Linked DNA regions of Alligator mississippiensis. The protein of the gene in region 3 interacts with the protein of the main gene of each other region in a biochemical or structural test. Links are inferred from orthologs where the notes say so. Each region holds a gene or a part of one and is shown on either strand. Other genes may lie near its edges.

The links.
Region 1: the proteins of PTEN (region 3) and USP13 form a complex in vitro, tested with the Homo sapiens proteins (3 studies listed by BioGRID, with this or other methods). The link is inferred for Alligator mississippiensis from reciprocal best matches to the Homo sapiens genes PTEN and USP13.
Region 2: the proteins of PTEN (region 3) and MAGI3 form a complex in vitro, tested with the Homo sapiens proteins (2 studies listed by BioGRID and IntAct, with this or other methods). The link is inferred for Alligator mississippiensis from reciprocal best matches to the Homo sapiens genes PTEN and MAGI3.

What each region holds. Positions count from the first base shown.
Region 1 is NC_081830.1:80,509,758-80,516,888, forward strand, and holds the start of USP13 (ubiquitin carboxyl-terminal hydrolase 13), read left to right. Parts: upstream 1-4,115; 5' UTR 4,116-4,203; coding exon 4,204-4,359; intron 4,360-7,131. UniProt on the Homo sapiens protein: Deubiquitinase that mediates deubiquitination of target proteins such as BECN1, MITF, SKP2 and USP10 and is involved in various processes such as autophagy, endoplasmic reticulum-associated degradation (ERAD), cell cycle progression or DNA damage response.
Region 2 is NC_081837.1:45,114,795-45,121,852, reverse strand, and holds the start of MAGI3 (membrane-associated guanylate kinase, WW and PDZ domain-containing protein 3), read right to left. Parts: upstream 3,017-7,058; 5' UTR 2,920-3,016; coding exon 2,577-2,919; intron 1-2,576.
Region 3 is NC_081829.1:65,953,084-65,960,692, reverse strand, and holds the start of PTEN (phosphatidylinositol 3,4,5-trisphosphate 3-phosphatase and dual-specificity protein phosphatase PTEN), read right to left. Parts: upstream 3,010-7,609; 5' UTR 2,528-3,009; coding exon 2,449-2,527; intron 1-2,448. UniProt on the Homo sapiens protein: Dual-specificity protein phosphatase, dephosphorylating tyrosine-, serine- and threonine-phosphorylated proteins.

The DNA of each region.
Region 1 (7,131 bases), on a different chromosome or scaffold from region 3:
TATCTAGGAAGGATTGAGCTCAGTGCTCAATAAATATATTAATATTTCAAGATACTTCTACTACACAGAATGACATCGTTATCTACAATACACAACTAACACTTTACATTCAAAGTAACTGTAAATCCAGTTAATCCTTTGACAAGCTCCTGGGAATTAGACGTTATTCATAGTTGACAAATGACAAAATTAAGACCATACGTATATTGTCAGGTGGGAGTGGAACTCCAGTACAAAGTGTTTTAAAAGCATGAAGAAGGATTAAGGAACACAAATCTCATTGACTTTATTGAGGGTTATGGTCCTAAATCATTTTGGGTGCTTTTGAAGAATCCCGCCCCGATGGTTTTTACTCTTACGCTGGGTTTTGAAGCAACACATGCTGAAGGACCCAAATGGGCAAATATTAAAACTAAGGGTATTCCCTATGATGGATAGGTTATTCAGCTTTTATTAATGCAAAAAGGAAGATGCTAGTAGCATATGAAAAGGGAGAAGCTTCCAACTTCTACTGAACTGTCTGTGGACTAAGGAGAGAAAAGTAGGAAGCTAGTTGATGGAGGTTTCCATAAAAGCTTTAACGATGGCTGAAGAACAAGCGGCAAGGTCCAGGGAACTGTACTGATACACAACAGTTAATAGTTCAAACTCGGGCCCAGTGGACTTGACATTGATCCACTCTTACTAAGGGAAGCGGTGTGCCCAAATTTGAACACAGCTGAAAATGAGACCTAGGAATCCCTTGTTCTATTAACAAGAATTGTGCAAGATAATGAGCTACCTATGCAGCATCTCGTATTTTAAAAACCTAATTGATAATTCAAATGTGCAACACTGTTGGATGCTTGATTAGGCAAGCTTCTAAATTAATTTTTTAAACATCTGTTTTAAAAAAAGCATTCAGGAATATTTCTGATTGTTCCCCATGTGCTAAATTAGCCCAAACAAGAGCATAATACATGCAGTGTTGTTTTACTCTACATACCCAAAAAACAGCAAGTCAAATCTGGGTATTTATGGATTAAAATATTCAGCATATTGGATCCCTGAAGAACATAACTAATTATTTTAATTAAAAATGTAAACATTTACGAAGCAATAAAAGCTTTATACTTTTCGTCTAGTTTGCCTAAAAGTAATTGGGGAACACTTTGTGGCATGTAAAAGCAGACTGTAATCCAAAATTACATTTAGGTCTTATTCAAGCAACCATCTAATGAGAAAATTCAATAAGTGAATATAGATTATGCCTTAACTAAAGGTTAAATAAGTTCATATCTAAAACTGAAGCATGGAGTTTCCTGTTACAATGCTGATAATAAGGGTGGGTGTTGTGCGATTAGTTTGTTTCTTTTCTTTTTTTACCGAACATCAAAGGGCAGATTTGAGTGATGTTAAAGAGGGAAATGTTCTTCAGCAAAGATAATTTTAAATAGGTCAGAATTTGTAAGAGCTGGGCATAAGGACAATTCTTTTTTTGTGCTCAGATGGCAGGGTGATAAAAATTATTATAGATAATCCAATAATGTCTCAGATATGCTAGCGGCTGTATTGTGTGTCAACCTTTCTGTGTTAGTGCCCAGTGCAATGATGGATGGTCATCACTCCATCCTTCTGATGTGACACCCTAGGGCAACAATCGCTGTTTTAAATTGTAAAAATATACTCTGGCACCGTAAGGGCACACGTGCTTGCACCATCTTACATTTTCAGAATTGTACAGAGGCGCAGATGCACTGCACAAGTTTAAATGACTGTAAAGTGTACTTACTGTTAAGCGGCTTTTTTTTTTTTTAGCCTGGCAGGCATTATTCTTCCCGCTAGGGGGTAGCATTTCCTCAGGGTCTGATCGCTACACATTGAATCTAGATTACTGACCGGTGGGTTTCTGATCCTTTTTTACCAACAGAAGTAGAAGTGACCCTCTTTCATTCCCTTTTCATGATAATAACCTTCTTTCTTCCATGCTTCATAGACTATTTCAAATAAGTACAACCTCGTTTGTTTTTTCTGTTGCAGCCAAATGCTGTAAAGCCCACTAAAACCAACGGGGTCTTTAGAGCAAGCTCTTTGTGATCTGCCAGTTATCTTCCTGCAGGTTAAGTGGCTTCTGTTCATATCATTCCATTATGCTGTGTTATTAGCAAGAGAGGAGTTATGTGCTCATGAGCCTTTCCAGTTTGAAAGAAATCCCTCTATCGGAACCCTCGACTCTTTCTCCAATACCTAACAGATCCTTTGCTACCAGGACAGATGCTGCTCTCGGGTAAGTCCTGAGCAGTGGTCTCCACTGGCTCACAGAGAAGATGTTACTTGCACCCATAGGAAGTTGAAAAGTTTAAAGTTAACAGCAGGAGCAACATGCAACATGCTGCTTGCTCAGTGTTGTTGCCAATGAGCAAGCAAGGTAGGGGATCACTGGTCCAGAGTAATTCTACTGAGTTTATACAATGCCCTCAGGATTTAACACACAATTTCCAATGCTACAAGGGCTAACTTTCTTAAAAGGCTATAAATTAAGCATTTCACCCTAAGCGCTGCTTCCACACGAAGCATTTCACAGTTCTGTTTCTTCATCCCTTGATGTAAACACTTTGCTTGCACTTTAAGGGCCTCAGTGTAAACTGTATGTAACAGCAGCAGGAGTCACGTAATGGTCTATCCATCGTGTATCTTTGTAGACCAGAGCAGAAAGAAGTGACTCGTGTCAAATTGTAAAAATCCCTGAAATAATTAGATACATTTTTCAGATTTTTTTTTCAATTTGTCACTAGTCACTTCTTTCCACTCCTGTTATTATCTTCAGAGTCCCCCTATCCTTTAGCCCATCAACATCCCTTCCAACATGAGAAGAACATAAATGAACCAGAGAAAAGGAAATATGGTTTTGGACTAGACCACTACCCTGTGACTCAGGAAGTCTGGGTTCATACCCTAGCAGTGCCGCAGGCTTCCTGCATGTCCTCTGTCGGGTCATCCAACACCTGCCGCAGTTTGACCATGATATAGCTTGGAGTCTATTCAACAAATAGATTATAATAATACCTTAGACCAGTGGTTCTCGGTTTTTTTCGACTCAAAGCACTCCTCAGAAAACAGTAACTCTTATTTTTCTCTCAAATTTTTTCCTACAGAAACCCCCCCCCAGCAATTCTCCTGTTGCAAATAACTCGTAAAGGCCACAACAAGTAGGAATGTTTTTAACACTCCAGATTCCTAGTTGAAATCTCTGGCTTTATCTCGTGAAACGTGGTTTTCACACCTAACAGCACTAACATTGCGTGGCAGCCCCGGAGCACCCTTGAAAGGGTCTTGGGGCACCCCAGGGTGCCATGGCATCCTGCGTGAGAACCACTGCCTTAGGAAATCTCTGCAGTTGAGCACAGTCCCGAGACAACGAGTTGGTTGTAAAACAGTGTCCAAGATCCAGGAGGGGTGCGGGGGGGGGAGAAATCTTTATTCTGGGTCTTGTGATTTGGCCGAAATTCCCCCAGGCGAGATCTGATGCGGCGGCGCGCGCTGCGAAGCCCTCTAAAGCCGAGAAGGGGTCTCATCACGATCCGCCTGCGATCCTGCGGGTTCAACGGCCTCCGCTCAGATCATTTCAGCGGTACATGGATCATTTCAATACGCGGACGCGGAGGGTGCATGGATCTGGCTGCAGGGAAAGTTCATTTTAGGACGCGGGCGGCGCAGCTAAGAACAGCTTTCGGAGCCTGGCCACAAGAGCATTTCCACCTCTTTTGAGTCGGTGTGCTAAAAGGGATCGCCTTGACCCTGGTCTGCCCTTTTCCCCTGGCCCGGGCAGAGGTGGGATTGTCCCCTAGTTTTGGGGGGAGACAACGGCACCCCAGGAGCCACCCAGGCCAGAGATGCCTCTCCCCCGGGGCAAAGGGGAGCAAGCCCTCTCCCCCTTCCTGCCCGAGCCCGCAGGAGCTGCGGCCTAGAGCCGGGCGCGGGGCTGGACACAGGCGGGCGGTGCTCGGCGCTGCAGCGGGCGGGGCACGGAATCGGGTGTCACTCCGGCTTGGCCCGGCGGGCACCTCCCCGCCCCCGGCCCGGCAGCTGGTGCGGCTCCTGCTGCCATTGGATTAAAAATAGCAGCCGCCCTCGCGGCCCCCCTTCCCCCGCCCGGCCCGGCTCGGCTCGGCTCGGCGCGGCGCGGCGCGGGCTGCGGGCGCGGGCGCGGGGCCGGGCGGGAGCATGCAGCGCGCCGCGCTCCTGGGCGGCGGGCGGGATGCGCAGATGGCGGCGGCGGACCTGGGCGAGATGCTGGTGCCCTACATGCCCACGATCCGCGTGCCCAAGGCCGGCGACCGCGTCTACAAGGCGGAGTGCGCCTTCTCCTACGACTCGCCCGTGAGTGCGACCCCCCTCCCTTCGCCGCAGGGCAAGCCAGGGCTCCTCCGCTCCTAGGGGCATTGCAAAGGGCAAGTGGGGGGATCCCCCGCTCGCTGCCCCCCCTTCACAGCTGGCACTAGGCCTTGGGTTTCCCAGGCTGGGGGTTGGTTTGATTTTGCAGGCTCCGGGCGGCGGTGGACTAGTGCCCCCCGGTTCTTCTCTCCTCCTTGTCCTCCCCGAGCAAGCGAAGCCACCGAGCGGGCGCCGGTGTGGCGGTTTTTGGAGGGGGCTCGGGGCAGTTTGCCAGGGGCCCTCGGCTCTGCGCGTCGCTGCTGGGTTTTTGCGTTCCTGCAGAGCTGGCGACGGGCAGCGAGCGTCCCCATTCATGTATTTTGTGTCAGCGGGATGCTCCGTAGTGTGGCCTTCGGTGTAAATGTCCGGTCACTTAAAAAACCCCCGGCCCTACCTGAGATTTACCTCTTCCGTTTTGTACAGGGGCATCGCTATAACCCGCAGGAGAGTCGCATTTTTTATCCCTTTTTTGTGTAGTTGGCTGTCAGGTCTCTGCTTGGTGTGTGCGGCCTCCGATGCTATCACATGTTCGTTGGGCCCTGATATTGCAATTGGATCCATGTAGAGACTTGCGCCCATGTAAAACAACATACTTCTTTGGGTTCGGTTGCAGGATCTGGGGTCTTGGCTATTCTCTTCATTGCTTATAAACATCAACAGTGAGGCATCAAATCCTTCCACTTAGATGATAGGTAAGGGAAGTGAAAGGCTGTTTTAAATCCACTGAAGTTGAATGTGCTTCTAATATAGTTTTCCATAAGTAAGGTGAGTACTGTGCATTGACATCAAGTTAAAGTGTCATTTCATAGACATTAGGGCTGGAAGGGACTTCGGAAGATCATCGAGTCCAGCCCCCTGCCCAATATGCCAGAGAGAAATCAAAAAGAAGCACAACATCTGTAATCCTGAGTTTTCAGATGTTTGCGCGATTCTGATTTTTAACTCAATTCGTATTTTTTTTTTTTGCTTTGATATTTCACTTTAATTTGGGGAATCCAAATGGGTTTCAGAGGTGACTCAGCTGTCTGGTGTTCATCATGTCTTGTTGAGGACAGGTTATTTTTACCCATACACTTGAGATCTCAAGTGTCACCAGCAGCCCTCTCTGCTTTGGGATGTCGAAAAAGGCCAGATCAGATGCTACAACAAAGAAATGAATTATTACATATTTAATGGGAGTGGAGGGAACAGAAATCAATGTGATGCAGTGTTCCCTTGCTACTTTTCTGTTTGATCTAGCATGTAATTAATGGATCTAGTAACCTGTCAAGACCTCCGAGACATTGTGGTAAAAAGTTTGTGTTAACTGACAGGCAAAGCTGCTAAATTACGAATGAAATGGAAAAAAAGAGATCAGGTGACTGAATATTAACAGAAAAACATATGTAAGTGGAATATAGAGGTATAGTTTCCGAGTGCCCAAGTCCTCTTGCGTTCAGTGGGAGCCACTAGGCCAATGCTTAGACCAATCTTACATTGTGCCATGATAAGACTCCTTCTTCATACAAGTTTGTAAATACAGAGTGGCCAAATGCTGAAGTTGCTTGTACCCATGCAGCTGCAGTGAGAGCCCAATTGGGCTTAGTATCTGTTGTCCAGTGCCAGTCCTCAGTGCCTTTGGGCAGAAGATTTATTCCAGTGTCCTCTCTTGTATTGGAGGGTTGGGTGATTAGGACAGTGCTCACTGGTATTATTTCTAAACCTAGCTCTGACTCTAGTCATCAAACCTGTTTGAGCTAACGCACCCCGTAAAGCCATGTACACATTTGAAAACGACAACACTTCATTGCTTTCTCCACAATGTAAATGTGTGAGCTAAGTGTACACGTGTGTCATAGTTAATGGAAGATGTTTCCCGCACCATACTTCATATTAAATTGGTTTGGTAACGTGTTCTTGCAGGTTGGCACACATGAACGACTGTGTATTGGGTTTTGCCTGGGCCAGTGGTTCTCAGCCCTTTTAAATTCAGGGCGCCCCTTCAGAAGGTTTCTGAATTTAGTGGCACCACCGTTAAAAGCCACCGTTGTGCTGCCTCAGTTTACCTTGGTGGTTCTCATTGGGGTGCTGCTGCTGCCAGCTGAAGGCTCCCCTTATGTGGAGCATAACCCCTGGCTGGGAAGCAGCAGTAACAGGACCTCAGCGCTTCTGCCTACCCTAGGTTTATCTGATAAGCTTATCTGAGTTGAGCGGAGACAGTGCAACAATAGCGTTTCTCAACCAGGATGCTGCTCAGTTTATCCTAGGTTCAGCTAATAAGCCTGATGCGGACAGGAGGGCCTGCTCCTGCCATCGCCACTCCTCGGTCCAGCTCTGCTTTCTGCATGAGGTGTGTGGCACCGTTGAAAGGATCTTGCGATACCCCGGGGAGCTGCAGCATTGGGCTAGATGTCTATTCTGTCTTTGGAAGAGGAAGGTAGATTTGATTCTGGAGCATTAAAACAAATGAGAACCCTTACCAAAATACCCTCTTGGGTTTCTTATCTGGTGGTTTGCTGGTTGCATTTTCAACCTGGGAAGTAACTATTTCCCCCCATAATTTACAACCTTACATAATATTTCCTTATACCCTCTTGTCCTCCTTGTTTGACACCTAGTACTGCATTTGTCACTATAACACAAGTCCCTGCAGATTTGTTTAAAACCAGCTGCTTTGCCAGTGTTTTATTCTGGCCCTTGAATGGCAAATTTTATTTTTATAGTAGATCTCATTAACAC
Region 2 (7,058 bases), on a different chromosome or scaffold from region 3:
TCCACAGCACATTTAACTTTGCAACATGTTTTAGGATAAAAAAACTTAGTTCCAAGTTTGATTTGCTCCAAAACTGTAAAGCAGAGATACAGCTAACCTCCGAACGAAGAAAACACATCTGACCCAGGGCAGCGTTTACATGTGGTGGCTGTGTAAGCAGCGTGCTTAGCATCCATGACTAACTGCTGCAGTCCCACAGATGGAAGATGTCAGTATTGCTATGACCGTCTACTGCCACACTACAGCTCTGGATTCACCGAAAAATAATCGAAGAGAAAATTCGCGATTATTAATACTTGTTTAAACTTTGTCAAGTTCACACCCGCGCTGTGCAGAACTGGAGAAGCTGTAATTAGCTTCAGATTGAAAATTGTGAATCATTAGTCTGTGTGATTGCAGGTAACACTATTTAGCATGAACTTGACATTTGAGATGCATGCTGGTAAAGAGGACTTTACTGGAATGATTTGATAGTGCTGGCTAATTATAGTACACTTGAATTAATCCCATTCTCTGAACAGAAGCTGAGTTTTCTTTGGGAAATAAAGGAATTGCTTTGAAACAGTGATGAGGAATTCCAAGAACGTTGCATCATTTACATCAGTCCTGACCACGGACAAAGCCAGGATATCATCTGACCACTGTGATTTCACCCGCTTCAAATAAGCAGCGAACATCACTACGGAGATAACTTTCAGAAATTGTATTTCAGAACTCTGTGACACTGAGCTATCAAATAGAGCGCGATTAACTTCCACAGAAATCAGAGTCCCTAACCATTTTCATGTCTCACACACCAGAAAAACAAAAACCCACTTGATGGGAAAAGTGAGCAGGAAAGAGAGAGAGAGAGATTCATCGGCAAGTTCCTTTAAATCTACCTTTACTGCAAGCGATTCTCTTTGACAGTTTCACCCCGATTTGTACAGCCATATGTTATGTACCTTTACACCTGTATGCACATATTATAGCCCGGGAATAATCACTACCCCGCCATCACAATGCCCCAAAGGTTAAGCTCTGGTATTAAAACTGCTGTGTAGTCCTGCTCACTATAGATGCAAGGTAAAGTGCTTAGTTTATCTGACAATAGCCTAATTAAAAAACTGAAAAAAATCCCATTTGCCATGTAAATCTCAGATAAAAAGGAAAAGTAGCATATCCCTTCTTAAATTCAGAATCCATATTTATCAAAGTGGTTCAAAATTAATCAGCACAGTGCAGAATCTCCTGCTTGCCCTGGGGACATCTGCCATTTCATTCCTAGTCAGTCCCAATGTTTTACACACAGCCAGCACACACGCTTCATTTCTTATCTTTTTGAGCTTCTTTGAGAGACCTGTTTGTAGCGTTACTGGATTTTAAGATTATATAGATGTTAATCCACTAAGAGATGCGACTGGGGCCAAAACCCAGAGAGCCTTGCCTTTAGAAATACCCACCTCTGCCTTCAGTCAAGGGACTACAATCCTTTCCGATGCCTCTTGCGGCTGCAGGAAACATTCGCTTGGAAGTGCCAAGCCACCTTACACACATCACATGCACACCCCGCATTTCAGCGGTTGCAACTAGAAATTATTCACCGTGACACACGGATGTTTAGATGAGCTACAATGCTCGCATCAGGACGCAGCACAACACCAAACGATCTGAAGACAGAGCGGACAGGAAATATCCTAAGCAGAACAAAAGAACGAAATCTTAATGCCGAAGCTATAAAACAACCGTGGGAGGGCAACCCTTCGCTGCAAGACCAAAGCTTTCCATCAGACTCGTTTCTGTAGCAGGCGACCACAGGGCAAGCATTTTTAACAGGTCTGTCAGGACTAACGCTCTGCAAAGGGCAAGTCCTACTTCATCCAAAAATGGCAGGATGCCTGGAAAAAAAACCAAAACATGCTGGTTCTCTCTGTGCTGCTTTTACCCTCACCATCTTTCCTCCACCGAGTTTAGAAGGAAAGAACCTATTCGGAATAAATACTCTTATCTCTATTGCCACAAGCCTCCCCCCGGCCTCAACTCCTGCCACACATTTTACAAGGCCCGTGCGGACAATCTGTGGGTCCACATAAAGCTGACAGCCACCCTGGAGGGGCCCATCTCCGCTCCCCGCCCGCCCAGCGCCACCGCCTCGCACGGCACAAGTTTCCCGCGCGCGCCTCGCGTGCCAGGCGCCGGCCACCGGCCCCCGCAGCGCTCTGGAGAGGGGGCGCAGCAGAGCCGCGGGAGCGGGACGTCAAAGCCAAGTTACTCGTGCCAACTTCGCAGCGTGGGGAGCTGCAGGTCGGACGCAGCGGCGGAAGCCGAGTTTCGCAGGAGGGCCCCCCGCCAGGACGGGTTTGCTCGGCCACAAGCTCCCGTGCCAACCAGAGCGAGTGACCCCCCAGGCGGAGGCAAGGGCTGTCCCCAGCCCCGCGCCTGGGAGAGCAAACTTGGCCCTCCAAGTGCCAGCAGCAATGCGGGCGCCGCTCGCTGCGACAGCCTCAGTTTCCCCATAGTCTCGAGGACGCAGGCAGGGCCGCTCCAGCCGCTGGCCGGTGGTGAGGGCGGCGGCGGCGGGGCGCGGGGGGGCTCACCTGGGCGCACGGTCTTGAGGCGCACGGGCTCCCTGAAGTGGCGGATGACGGCCAGCGTGTCGCGGTGCGTGAGGCCGCTCACCGGGGTGCCGTTCACCTCCAGCAGCACGTCCCCGGGGCTGGGCGGCTTGCCGGAGAGCAGCGCGGGGCCGGGGCCGGGGCCGGGGCCGGGCTCGGCCAGGCGGGCGCCCAGGTAGGGGAACTCTCCGCGCTCGGCGCCGCCGCGCAGCAGCTCGGGGCCGGGGCCGGAGCCGGAGCCGGGGTCGGGCGGCGGCGCCCAGGACACCACGCACTCCTGCACCTTGCTCAGCCAGTGCCGCCGCCGGCGCAGCGTCTTGGACATGCCGCCGCATGGGGCTCCCGAGCCGGCCCGGCCCGGCCCAGCCCGACGCGACGCGACGCGACCCGACCCCACACACCAACCGCCCAGCAACCGACTGCCCGGCCCCGCCCCGCCCCGCCCCCGGCACGCCCCGCCCCCTGACGTCACGCCTCCCCCCGCCCCGCCCCGCCCCGCCGCGCCGCGCCGCGCACGTGTGTCTGCCCGCCCGCTTGTGGGACACGGCGCAGCGCAGCGCGGGGGGAGATTGATCAATCTATCAATCAATCAATCAAGGGGCAGGTGGGTTTAACACGAACCACGGGCTGGGGTCGCTCTTCCCCGGGGCACGGGGCACGGCCTCTGCCTCCCGACGTCCCGGGCCCCAATCGCTGGAGACCGCACGGGAGAGCAGAGCGCGCAACAACCCTGCTCAGAGCCAGCCCGTCCTCGCCGCCGTGCGGCCCGGCCCGGCCCGCCCGCCCGCCCGCTGCAAAGCAGGAGCTGCAGCCTGCTGCCCTTGACCTCGTGCGGGGCCACGCGGCAGTGGCACCCTTTCCCTCCGCGTGGGGAAATGCCACCTGAACGGGTGCTGACAGGTACGCGCGGCCCGCCGGGAGGCTGGGGCGGCCCTCGGGCTCCCGCCCTCCAGTCTCGAGGCTGGGGGGAGTCAGGACAACTCCCGAACACCTACTGATGTTGGCAAGGCTCACGCCGAACCCTAGATGTCAACTTGAAAAATAATCCCTAGAGAGCCTTCTGCTTCAGCGCGCCCGACCGGTCCGATACAGGCCCTCGCGCGCGGTCCCCCAGAAACTGCATTTCTTGCTGCGAAGCCGAGGGCCGTCCCTGCCTCAACCCTGCGAGGCGGGCCGGCTTGCTCTGGGAAGGGGAAGGCGACCGCCTTGCCTCGAGGCTGGCCACAGGACCGTGCCCGTTCAGCCCGCAGCTCAAGGAATCCAGCACAATCGTTTCTGAAGCTCTTCTGTACACAAGGCAATCAAAGCGGAAGCGGGGAGGGTGCGAGGTGTGACCTTACATAGCTGAGATACGTACGCGTGTTCCTTCGCACACAAGGAAACGGCCCACCTCTGGCCCTTGCTCTACGTCACAATCATTTATTTGTTTCCTGATACTCTTGGCCATCTCCACAATAACAGAGACTAGAAATACCAGCTTTGCACGCTGAACTTTCCCCCATAATTAACATCTGTGCAGAACCGTAAAAGGCAGCTAATTTTCTCGTTCAGAAATCACCGCAAACTTTCACCTCTAACAAACGGATACGACGCTTTGCTGTGGGTTTCCTGTGGCTTCTGCACGTCTTTATCTCCACCGGCCCGTATCTCCTATAGGTCATATGGTAATTACTGCCAAAAATAGGGACTTTAACAAAAAAATTAGTGGCATTTGAATCTCGGGACAAAGGGATTTTGGAAGGGCAGCCGGCAGAAGGGAGGATATCATTTAAAAGTTACACGAGTGGCTAGGGAGACATTAACTGGCCTCCAGCTGATCATATTGGTGAAAATATGATTGTGGCTCCGTTCGTGTTAATGGAGCTCTGCCAGGGATGGATCGGACTCATTACATGCGGTGCCATTTGAAGTGTACTTGGCTACCTGCCAACAGACGTGAAAATAACTCAAAATGATCTAAATTTTCTTTTACGCTTGCAGAATGCGAGTGAGAAGGCTGGAGGCTTTGTGGTGTTAGGCATCCTGGACAGTAAAAGGGACATTGTCGAATCCATTTGAATCCAAAATTTAGCATTTCACGTAGACTTGCCACACCAGACTAAATCAATAGTCCAGCCATCCCAGTAGCCTCTCTCTGGCCTTGGCTTGTGCCAAATGCTTCAAAGGAAGGCACAGCAAACCGTAACGCACAGACATTATGGGCAGTTCATTAGAGGAAATTTCTTTCCAAGTCGAGGGTGGTAGTTGGTCTATACCCTTGAAACAAAAAAGTGTTTATAGCCCTCGTAAAAATCTCTCTTATCCTATTAAATGTAACTGGATCTTCTCATTGGCCAAAATTTTAAAAACTGAGGTCATACTCTTAAGTCTACACGGTGGCACCTTAATGGATGCAGCGTGACATTCAAAAGTGCTGGGCGGCTGCAGCTAGCGTGCTAGCCTGCCTCAGTATAGCTCTGGTCGCCCAGAAGGATGCATGTCCAGTCCTCTAGGGAACCTAGAAGGTCTTCACACCTTTTGCCAATGCCTTGCACAGGTTAATTATATATTGAATTTTACAATGGTTCAATAAAACAGTTCAATTTTTATCAAATCCTTCAGTTGCATCATTTTTTTCTTCTCGGGGAAAGGAAATAGGAGAGTTTAATTTACTTTCTCTAATCAGCACCATTCACTAATTTACGTATCTCTCCGTTTTGTCCCTGCCTCCCACACCTCACTGTGGAAGGCTTTGATCCGAGTCTCTGGTTTTAGCCCCCAACCCCTGGTGCCATTCTGTTTCTGTTGTCAGAGGAGTGGCCAGCCCTGAACACTGCCTTCCAGACACGGGTGTTGCGTTGCAGGGTGAGGTCCAGCATGGGCTGCCCCAGGGCAGGACCCTGCCATCCACCCCGCCCGCTCCCCTCACACAAACCCTGGCATTTCGTTGACCTCCCACCCAGCCCTGGGGGAAGAGGGGTAGAGTCTGGTTCATGTTGCTATTGCACAAAGTAAGCGTATGGGTCCCTGGGCCCTCCTAGTCTGAAACCCTTCATCCCCTGCTCAGTGAAGGACACGGTTTGTCCCTCTTCCCTCCCAAGGTGCCATTCTCTCCACAGCCTCCTGCAAGGGAGTCTGGCTTCTCTCTGGAGCACGTGCTCCCGGCCAGGCTCGTTTGCAGGGCGGCCTCTCCCTGTAACCCTGCAGTCCATCTTCCAGGCAGGGCAGCCAGGAGGGGGGCTGCCATCACCTGGCCACTGGTCTCACAGCTGGCACAAGCAGAACTGGACCCTTTGCTCTCCAGGCTTCCCCCCTCTCTGCCAGGCAGAGCGCAGCAGATCCACCCAACAGCAGCAGCAATGTTTTTCGTAGTTTTTCCTTGTACATCCTAATGCTTTGTTTACCTTTTTGATCACTGCTGCATATTGCGGAGAGGCTTTAATTGGGCCATCCACAGTGATACCTAGATCATTTTCCTCTAAATTAGAGTGGCTGTTAAATTATTCATTCCAGTGTGCGTTACCTTGCAGTTGTGAGCGCCCCGTCTCACATGAACCTCCCCATTTAGCAATGCTAGAGGGTTCCTTTTCCTTGGTGCCCTGCTTCCCTTTTGATTTAGGGGCATGTAAGCTACTGGTGACTGCAACCAACTTCAAATGGTAAAAAAACCCCATAAAAATCAAGCCTGGGAAAGTCCTGGAGTGGATTAAAATGATGAGCTAGAAAAGATTTGCATTATTTCCCCATCTTGATTTGCATTGATCTCGGTGCACATTTTCAAGCTTTTCTCCAAAACCAGGAGAGCCAGAAACTCACTTTGAAAAGCAAAATGTAAAAAAAAAAAACCACTTAAAGCTGACACACTGATACATTTACATGACCTCAGGGTTTTAAGAACAACACAAATTATGAGATCTGGCAACACCAACTCCATTCTCAGATGATTAAATAGCTTCCATGCTGAGTCTAATCCATGAAGATGTTAATAGTCTCACTTCTGACTTTCATTCTCTTTACTAGCTTCCTCATTTGTATAATTATAAAGACCATGTATAACTGACTAGCTGTATTCCTTGCTCTAAACTGAGATATATAAAACCAAACAGCCTAACATTTTCAAAAACAAGGGCATGACTTTGAGATCTAGTCACTGGATAAATTCTGGAAATATTAGTCTAGTCTAATCTGCGCCAGTTTCTGTAATCTACAAAGAGATTTTCCACATAAGCCCGTAACAGACACTTATACCTCAAAGGAGTCGGAAATAATTCAGTGATCTCAGATGATGAATTAAGCAAAAGATTTATTTTATTCACAAGTATCCATGAAGACAGCTGTCAACATTTCAGTTCCAAAAGCTTCTCCAAGATCAATGTCCTCAACAAACCTATCTTGTTAAAGTCCCCAAAGCTTAAGTTTCATGCATGCTGCCAAAGCTTTCCTGAGTTCATTTCCAGAGCGCTAATGAAAACTTTAAAGCCTGTT
Region 3 (7,609 bases):
TTTAGAATTTAGTGCACAAGTAACACACGAAAAGAGTGGTTAAGCTACCTAAAAAGAGCACAATTTAATACCTTCCAGATGTTAGATAATGAGTAGTTATCCCATTAAAAACTGTAAAGGGCTTCCTTCTTTAGGTTTTACAGAATAAAGAAAAACCCCTCAATTTTCTTGGTTTAATTTTCTAGTACATCCAATTACATTTTGCTATTTGGCACATACAGCATTCTTCCTTCATAAAGTAACTGCTCAGAATCTGCAATAACATACATACAAGGAAAATGACGTTTAATATTGAAAACCAACTCCTCAGCAAAGCATTTTTAAAAATACTTTGCAAAGTAGTTTTTAAAAAGTACAAGTCTACTGTACTTAATTCATTACAAGTACAGTAACTAAATAAAGTTTAATTGAAATCATTTTACAATTTAAACCCCAAAAACAGATTTATGGTTTTTTCTGGGTGAGCACACAAATTCTGTAACAATGCTGAAGATGCCATTCAAATGCTGAGCTAAGTAAGAGGCAAAATCATTAATAGCCCACAATTTCCTTGCCAAGAAACAAAAAATAAGTATACCTAGATTCATAGATAAATAAATGCAAGTTCTGTTTTGTCAGATACTCTCATTACACCTTTGAAAAAGACTTTTTAAGGACAAATTTTAAAAGTGAGATGCATAAAATTTGGTTTCTTTTCTTGCTCCTAGTTTTTTTTCCTCCCTACTCTCTTCCCACCCTTAACTTTCAAAATTACAGAATTAGGCTATAAGGCATATTATTACATGGATGTTTATGCTATATTGTTTGAGCAGATATTATTACTGCAGATGTTCTACTAACCTATAGCATGATGATGCAGTCTTCTACTACTATTCAAGTTATGTCATCAAAATATAGATTTTGAAGAATTTAAAACAGCTCTAAAATGACAATAAAGCATTATTTGGTCAATATGTTCATAGAATAAAATAAAAATCAGGAAGGTACATCCTTAAGGGTCATCTGCCAATGCCAATACACTTATCTGTTAAGTATTCAACATTTTAGACTGAGTCCTAAATCAACGTAACATTACAAATTCAATCTTTCAGTTAGCTATCTGTATATCCAAGAACTCAAGCGCATTTGTAGTTGCAACTGTGACTTAATTCTCTCATGTTCCGAGAAAACGGTAAGCAGCTTGTCCTTGTTGTGAGGCAGAACATATTCTCATTCAGCACTACTAGCTAAACTTCTGGTCCTTAACCTAATTTTCAATGTTTACAATTCTAATCCTTGCATTAAGGATGTTTTATTTTAAAGAACAGATAAAAGTGAAAAGTGGGTTCAACCTATAGCATCTGCAACCACCTCCACTTCTGATGGAAAAATGACAGATCCTTTCACGATGTTGGCAGCCTAACATCTGTCTGATGCTTTCATAATGCATCCCTTTAACAGGCCAAAAGAACTATATGGTTCTAGCGCTTTATGGTTTCACTGGTTAGTCCCAATGGCATACCAATATTGCAAAAAACTCTTCTTCACAGTTTCATATATCCAAAACAATGCTTCAGTTAACAAGAACCTAATTATTCTCATTTGCAAAAAAGACAGGGGCCTCATACCTACAGGAACGATCAGTATGAAGTAAAGTTCAATGGCTACAGAATGTTAGCTTTCACTGAAGTTTGTTTTTAAATTAAAAGGATAAATGTATTTGCTTATTTTCTTGTATTTGGACACAAGCATCTATGATCTTTAGTTAAACCTCAGGTTTAACTAATAGAAATGTGATCAAAGGGATCCATTTGCTATCCATTTACACACACAAACTAACACTAAGTAAGGCTATGCATCTGCTAAAGGTATTTCTGATTCAAGAAGCTAAGATACCAAATTAAGACAGTACACAGCTCAGTTAAAAAAAAAAAAATCAACCCCCTTCTATCTGAACTAAACCCAACCAACAAGTTAAGGAGAGGCAGAAGATTACTTTGAGCATGGGCACCGAAGTCATTATCTGGGAGTGTCAGTGAGGCATGACACCAAAATAAGGTAAGTGCCAGTGCAGGCCAGGCAAGAAGACTCCAATTCCAAATGAGCGCTAATGTTAATCTTTTGCAATCGCCATTACTGCACATAAGCCCCGTTAACCTGCCTGACATGACTGTCAGGGATCAAAGGACTTCTCAGCCCGTTTTCTCCCGCACGGGACCAGCAGCGCGGCAGGCCCAGACCCCCCTGCTCAGTCCCACAGGAGCCCGTGCTCCCCACACCGCACCGCACCCCCACCACAAAGACCAAGCGCGGTCCCGGGCGCAGAGGCCCCGGCAGGCGAGGAGGGGCAGGCTTGGCCGGGCCGGCTCCGTGTCAGCGCGAGGCCCCGGCGGGAAGGGCCGCGGAGTCGGCACTCCAGCGCGCTCGGGCCCGGGCAGCGCCGGGGGGCAGGAGCCCGCTGCAGGATACAGGTCAGGTCCAAGTCGAAGCCATCCTCCTGGTATCGCCTTTTGTTCCTGCTGACGATCTCTTTGATGATGGCGGTCATGTCTGGGAGCCGGGGGCCGCCGAGGAGCCGCGCGGGCAGGCAGGGCAGCGGCGGCGGCGGCAGGGCGCACAGGGCTCGGGGCTGGGCCGAGGCGGCTCCCCCGAACCTCGGGGCGGCGGCGGCCGCGGGGCTCTGGACGGCGGAGCGGGGGGGCGGCCCGCGCGGCTCAGCCCGAGGCCCGCAGGCGGCCGGGCCCCGGGGCAGCGGCGGGCCCCCCTCCCCCTGCTGCTGCTGCTGCGGCTCCCGGCGGCGGCGGCTGCTGCCCCCTCCCCGCGCGGCCCCGGGCGGAGCGGGAGCGGGGGCCGGGCCCGGGGCGGCGGCGGCGGCCGCGGAGGGGTTCAGCGTGCGGCCGAGTCCCGGGCTGCGCCGCCGCCGCCGCCGTCTTTGAGGCGAGTGAGGCGGAGGCGGGGAGAGGCGCCCTCCAGCGCTCCGCGCCCCAGAAATGGTGACAGCGGCCGGGCCCCGCTCCCGCCCGGGGCGGCGGCGGCCCCGCGCTCAGGGCCGCGCACCGGCGGGCGGGGGGCGGGCGACAGGCGACCGAGCCCCGCGCGGGGTCGGTGGGAGACGCAAAGCAGCGCGCTCAAGACCTGGGCTGCGCGCGGGGCCCCAGCCGGGCCCGTCTCATGGTTGCGGCCTCCCCGCGCGCGGCAGCTCCGAGCGCCTCAAGCCTCCATCATGGCTGCTGCGCCGCGGAGGGACCGGCCGCCGAACAGCTTCGCTCCACTGGCACCGCCCCCGCCCCCTCCGCCGCAAAGTAGTCCCGCCACATCATCGCTCCGCGGCCGCCCGCCCCCACGACGCGCCGCCCCCCCTGCCCCGCTGCTCGCTGCGGGCCCCTACGCCGTGGGGCTGGGGCGCTGCGGGGCAAGGATAGAGAGTTCTCCTGAGGGGAGTGTTGGGGGTCACAGGAGCAGGCCGCAGGCCGGCGGAGGGATACTCTCGCTGCCAACTCGGAACTACTTTCTCGGGTCACGTGGTCCCCCCTGCCCGCTGCGGGCCCCCTCCCCCGACTGGGGGGGAGCTCGGCCCTGGCCCGGGGCCGCAGGAGGTGGCTCGCGGGGCGGTGCGGGTTGTGGCGCGCGCCCCGTGCAGGGGGAGTTGTGAGGGAGGCAGCGGGATCCGCCGGCCCGCTGGTCCCGGGGCTGAGGAGGCCGCTTGGGGCAACTTCTTGGGGAAGCTCTTCGGCGCGGGGGCGCCGGTGGCCACAGGCAGCAGCACCCGGAATTGCTCCCCGTGGCTTCCCCCAGCGAAACACAAGTGCCTCTGCCCAGCCCTACGCGCCTCGGTGCGGCTTTTCGGGCTCCAGGAGGAGGCTTGGATGTGGCAGAAGCGGCAGCTGGGCTGTGGGACAACAAGGGCCCACTCCTGCCTCATCTGCAGCCAGGAGGAAGGTGAACTCCTGCCTCCCCGCCGGTCAGAGCCGAAGAGCCAGGCTGCCTCCGGGCCCCGCTGCACCTCGGTGAAAATGTGGAATGAAATTTCTGAAAGCTGCTGCCAAGCGGGAGAACTGTCCTCCCGCGGGCGAGCCGCCTGCGACGCGGGTTGTGGCGCCACCTGTTGCCTGTGATCAAGAAACCCCCTCGGTCAGAGAGTAGCTGCAGTCACTGAAAAAAAATTCAGGGTTACCAGCGTACTCTGTTCCTGTACCTTTGGTCACACAAGGCCTACATCCAATGCTAACAACACCAGCCCAACGCCCAAGGGCCTGATTATTTCAAGCACTGGGAAGAATACAAGGGCAAGCCTCCATCAGCAGGAGAGCAGCATAACCATGATGGGGGTGCCCCCCCCATGCAGTAAAATGCAGAAGTGAAGTGTGACTTCCCAAATGCATGATAATCCCTAAGTAGAAGAGGGAAGGCATACAAATTGAATGGAAGGATTAGGTGGCCAACACGACAGTGAAAGATTTGAAATGGAGTTTTTATTCCTCTTTCAGGTTAGTGGGGGCAATGAGAGATTTTCTCAGTCATAAATGTCTGCTGATGTCATCGAATGGTAACAAGGGAACACTATACAGAAATGAACAAATGTAGCAAGTGAGCATGAGATTACATCATCAGAATAATCTATCTGCCCTGATGGAGAGAGAATTGTCTGTTTTTCTTTAATGTTTTGACAATATTTGTATCTATTGTCATTCCAATAAAATAATCTGGATTTTCTGAAGTCACATCTACTGTGTGGATAGAGCCTGCTCCCCCTACTAAGCACCTGCTGCGTGGTCCCAAGGGAGTCCCCCACAAATAAAAGCAAATGAATCATGGAGCAGTACCATAGAAAGTTTTGTAACCCAACAGGCAAAACAGAAAGTAGGACTAAAGTCTTACTGCTAGCCTAAAATAAACATAGCTACAGTACAGCTATATGTATCTCCCACAATGCAGTTCTACTTTTGTGACTGCCATTTACCCAGCTACCTATTTCTCTCTCTCCACTCCCTACTCAACACACTTCTTGTACTTCTCTCATTCTGGTATCATTCCCACCACACTCCTAAATAAGAAGCCTTTGAAAAGAAACCTGCTTTACAGGTTATGCATTGAGTTCTCAGTTCTGCTAGATGCATCAATATTGAACATGGAAGGAGGAAGGATGGAATTACCTATCCTGATAAATGTCTCTGTCTTCTGCTTTCCCTCTGAAGCCAAATGTTCTTCACTTGTTTTGGAAAATTGCCTCTCTGCTTTTCTTGAAAAATACCGTATCAAAATTTCTTCTTCTGTTCTGAAGCTTCCAGCATAAGGGGAGATACAATTCACCAAGCTCAAGAGTTGTGAAGCAGAGATTCTCTCATCATCTTACAAATATCAAGACATGATTTTTGAGTAGAAAAGCCCACTGATTTCAGTTATCAGGTGTTCTTTGTTTTTTGAGTATAGCAGTGAAATATTAGCTTGTGTTAAAATTTCCTAACTCTGAAACAAAGTACGTTTTTCAGGATATTCTATGGATATGCTTGAAAACAGCACCCCCTTAAACATTGTAATTACTTCTTAAAATATGTCATTTCACAGGTTTCTCATGCATGGAAAACAATCAGCTTGAGACATTCCTCAAATAAAAGTGGGGACATACTCCCTCTCTTGAAAAAGCCCCCCAAAAAACAAACAAACCAACAAATATCTCCTCAAATCTATGACACAAACACAAAGAGTAAAGAGTCCATGAGGACTCCACTGAACCTGAAAAACAAAATCAGATGAAGACCTTCCTGAAAGGATGAAACCAATGGGAAAGGAAGACCCAGGTCTGGGGCATCAGCACATATGAAAAATAGGTAACCTAATCCTTTAGGATACAACTTTGATTTCTTTCTTTCTTTCTCTTCTTGAGAAACAACACTGCATACATTCATGTTTACAATACTGGAGTGTAACCAGAAGATTTGACTTTAGACACTGATCCATATTTTTTGTTAACATATATTTGTACAAAAGCTAGTCTTTAGCTTATAGCATAAAAATCAACAAATTACCCAGTTTTTTTTATTTTGCATGATATAAAATGGAAATATCCTTAGCTTGGAACTGACATCTATTGGCTTATGAAAAATACTAACCTTTCCCTTTATTTGCCCTGAAATATTTTTCATCTACAGATTTTTTTTAAAGTTGGTGCCAAAGTAGTCAAATAATTATGTTGATTATTTTTGAAGTGTGCTTCCTAGTGTTTTATTTTTAATCGCATAAAACACTTAATTTTGTTCAGTGGAAGGGAATACAGGACCAGGGAAAAACATTTTCCTGAAACATGGCTAATTCAAATACTCTTTTAAGAAAGAATAAACTAGTAATGAAACACTCAGTATTACAGATAATTTTTTGAAATGTGTGTAGACAATGAATGGCGTGTGAGCTTTTTAAAAAAGGAATAGGAAAAATATGGTTAAGAGGACTATAGCTCTTTTAACATTGAAGTTTGAAGGAGCTGTGAACAAATAATAGCCTTATGTAAATCAATATACATATTTTAGATTACATTTCTGGTAAAATATATTTTTATTCTGTAAAAAAATATAAAAATTGTACAGAAAATATGAAGTGATAATGTAATAGCTCTGAATGAACTATAGCTATATTGAACTAGCTATTTACAGGGTTTTTTTTAGGTAGGTAGTATTCACCTTGCAGATGCAACCAAATTAAACTGAAAGGTCCAGTACCTACTTTGGTTCTCCCATTTTTTTTAAGAACTTGTACACATTTCAGTGCATGGATTTGGTGGTAGAATCCGTGAGTCATCTTAATCTGATTTATTAAACTGGGTAGCTCATGTACATCAATAAATCCAAATCCTATTATGGTCAGTGGAATGAATTCCAAGACAAATCCTGTGTCAAATTCTTGAGCTAAATAATAAGGTTAAAGCAGGGCAGACATACTGGAGAAGGTAGGGAGAACGACACTCTTATGAATCATGGAGCAGCAGTACAAAAACCCTTTGTAACCCAATAGCCAAAGGAGTATCTGCATGTCTTAAGATGGGCTCATCTTAAGTGTAAAGAGGATGGGAGGACAGTCCAGTCTCTCAGATGTACAAGGGATGCTTTTAATAATGTTAAAAAATAAAAGCATGATTTTTGTTATATACAACCTGTCTCTTCATAGCCTAATGAAATACAATTCTAAGTCAGCAGGTGTTTTAGTCATTAGAACAACCCTCCCTTTCCAGTGTATGAGAAAATACAGGTAGTGACAAAGTGGAGTTATGCAGCTCTATCTTGGAGAGGCTAGTTTAATACACTGATAAAATAAAACAAAACCCATGCAACAACAGAACTGTTGAAGATAACAGTTACAGACAACAGCAGGTAAGCTGCTAAATGGGGGAGTGTGGGTTAGGAGTGAGAGGCACCAACAGGGCTGAGGTGGCAGGGCTGTGGGTTGGAAATGAGGGGCAAAAGCGTTGGCAGGGACATATCAGGGCTGCTCAGCACCATGAAGCAGGGAGGGAGGGGGCAGGTGCAGCTGGACCCATGCCCTGGTGAGCAAAGGGGGTAGGGGGGAGCTCTGGTATTCTATGATAAAAAAACCCAAATCAAATGACAAAATATATAGGTATTTAGAATTTATTTTATTA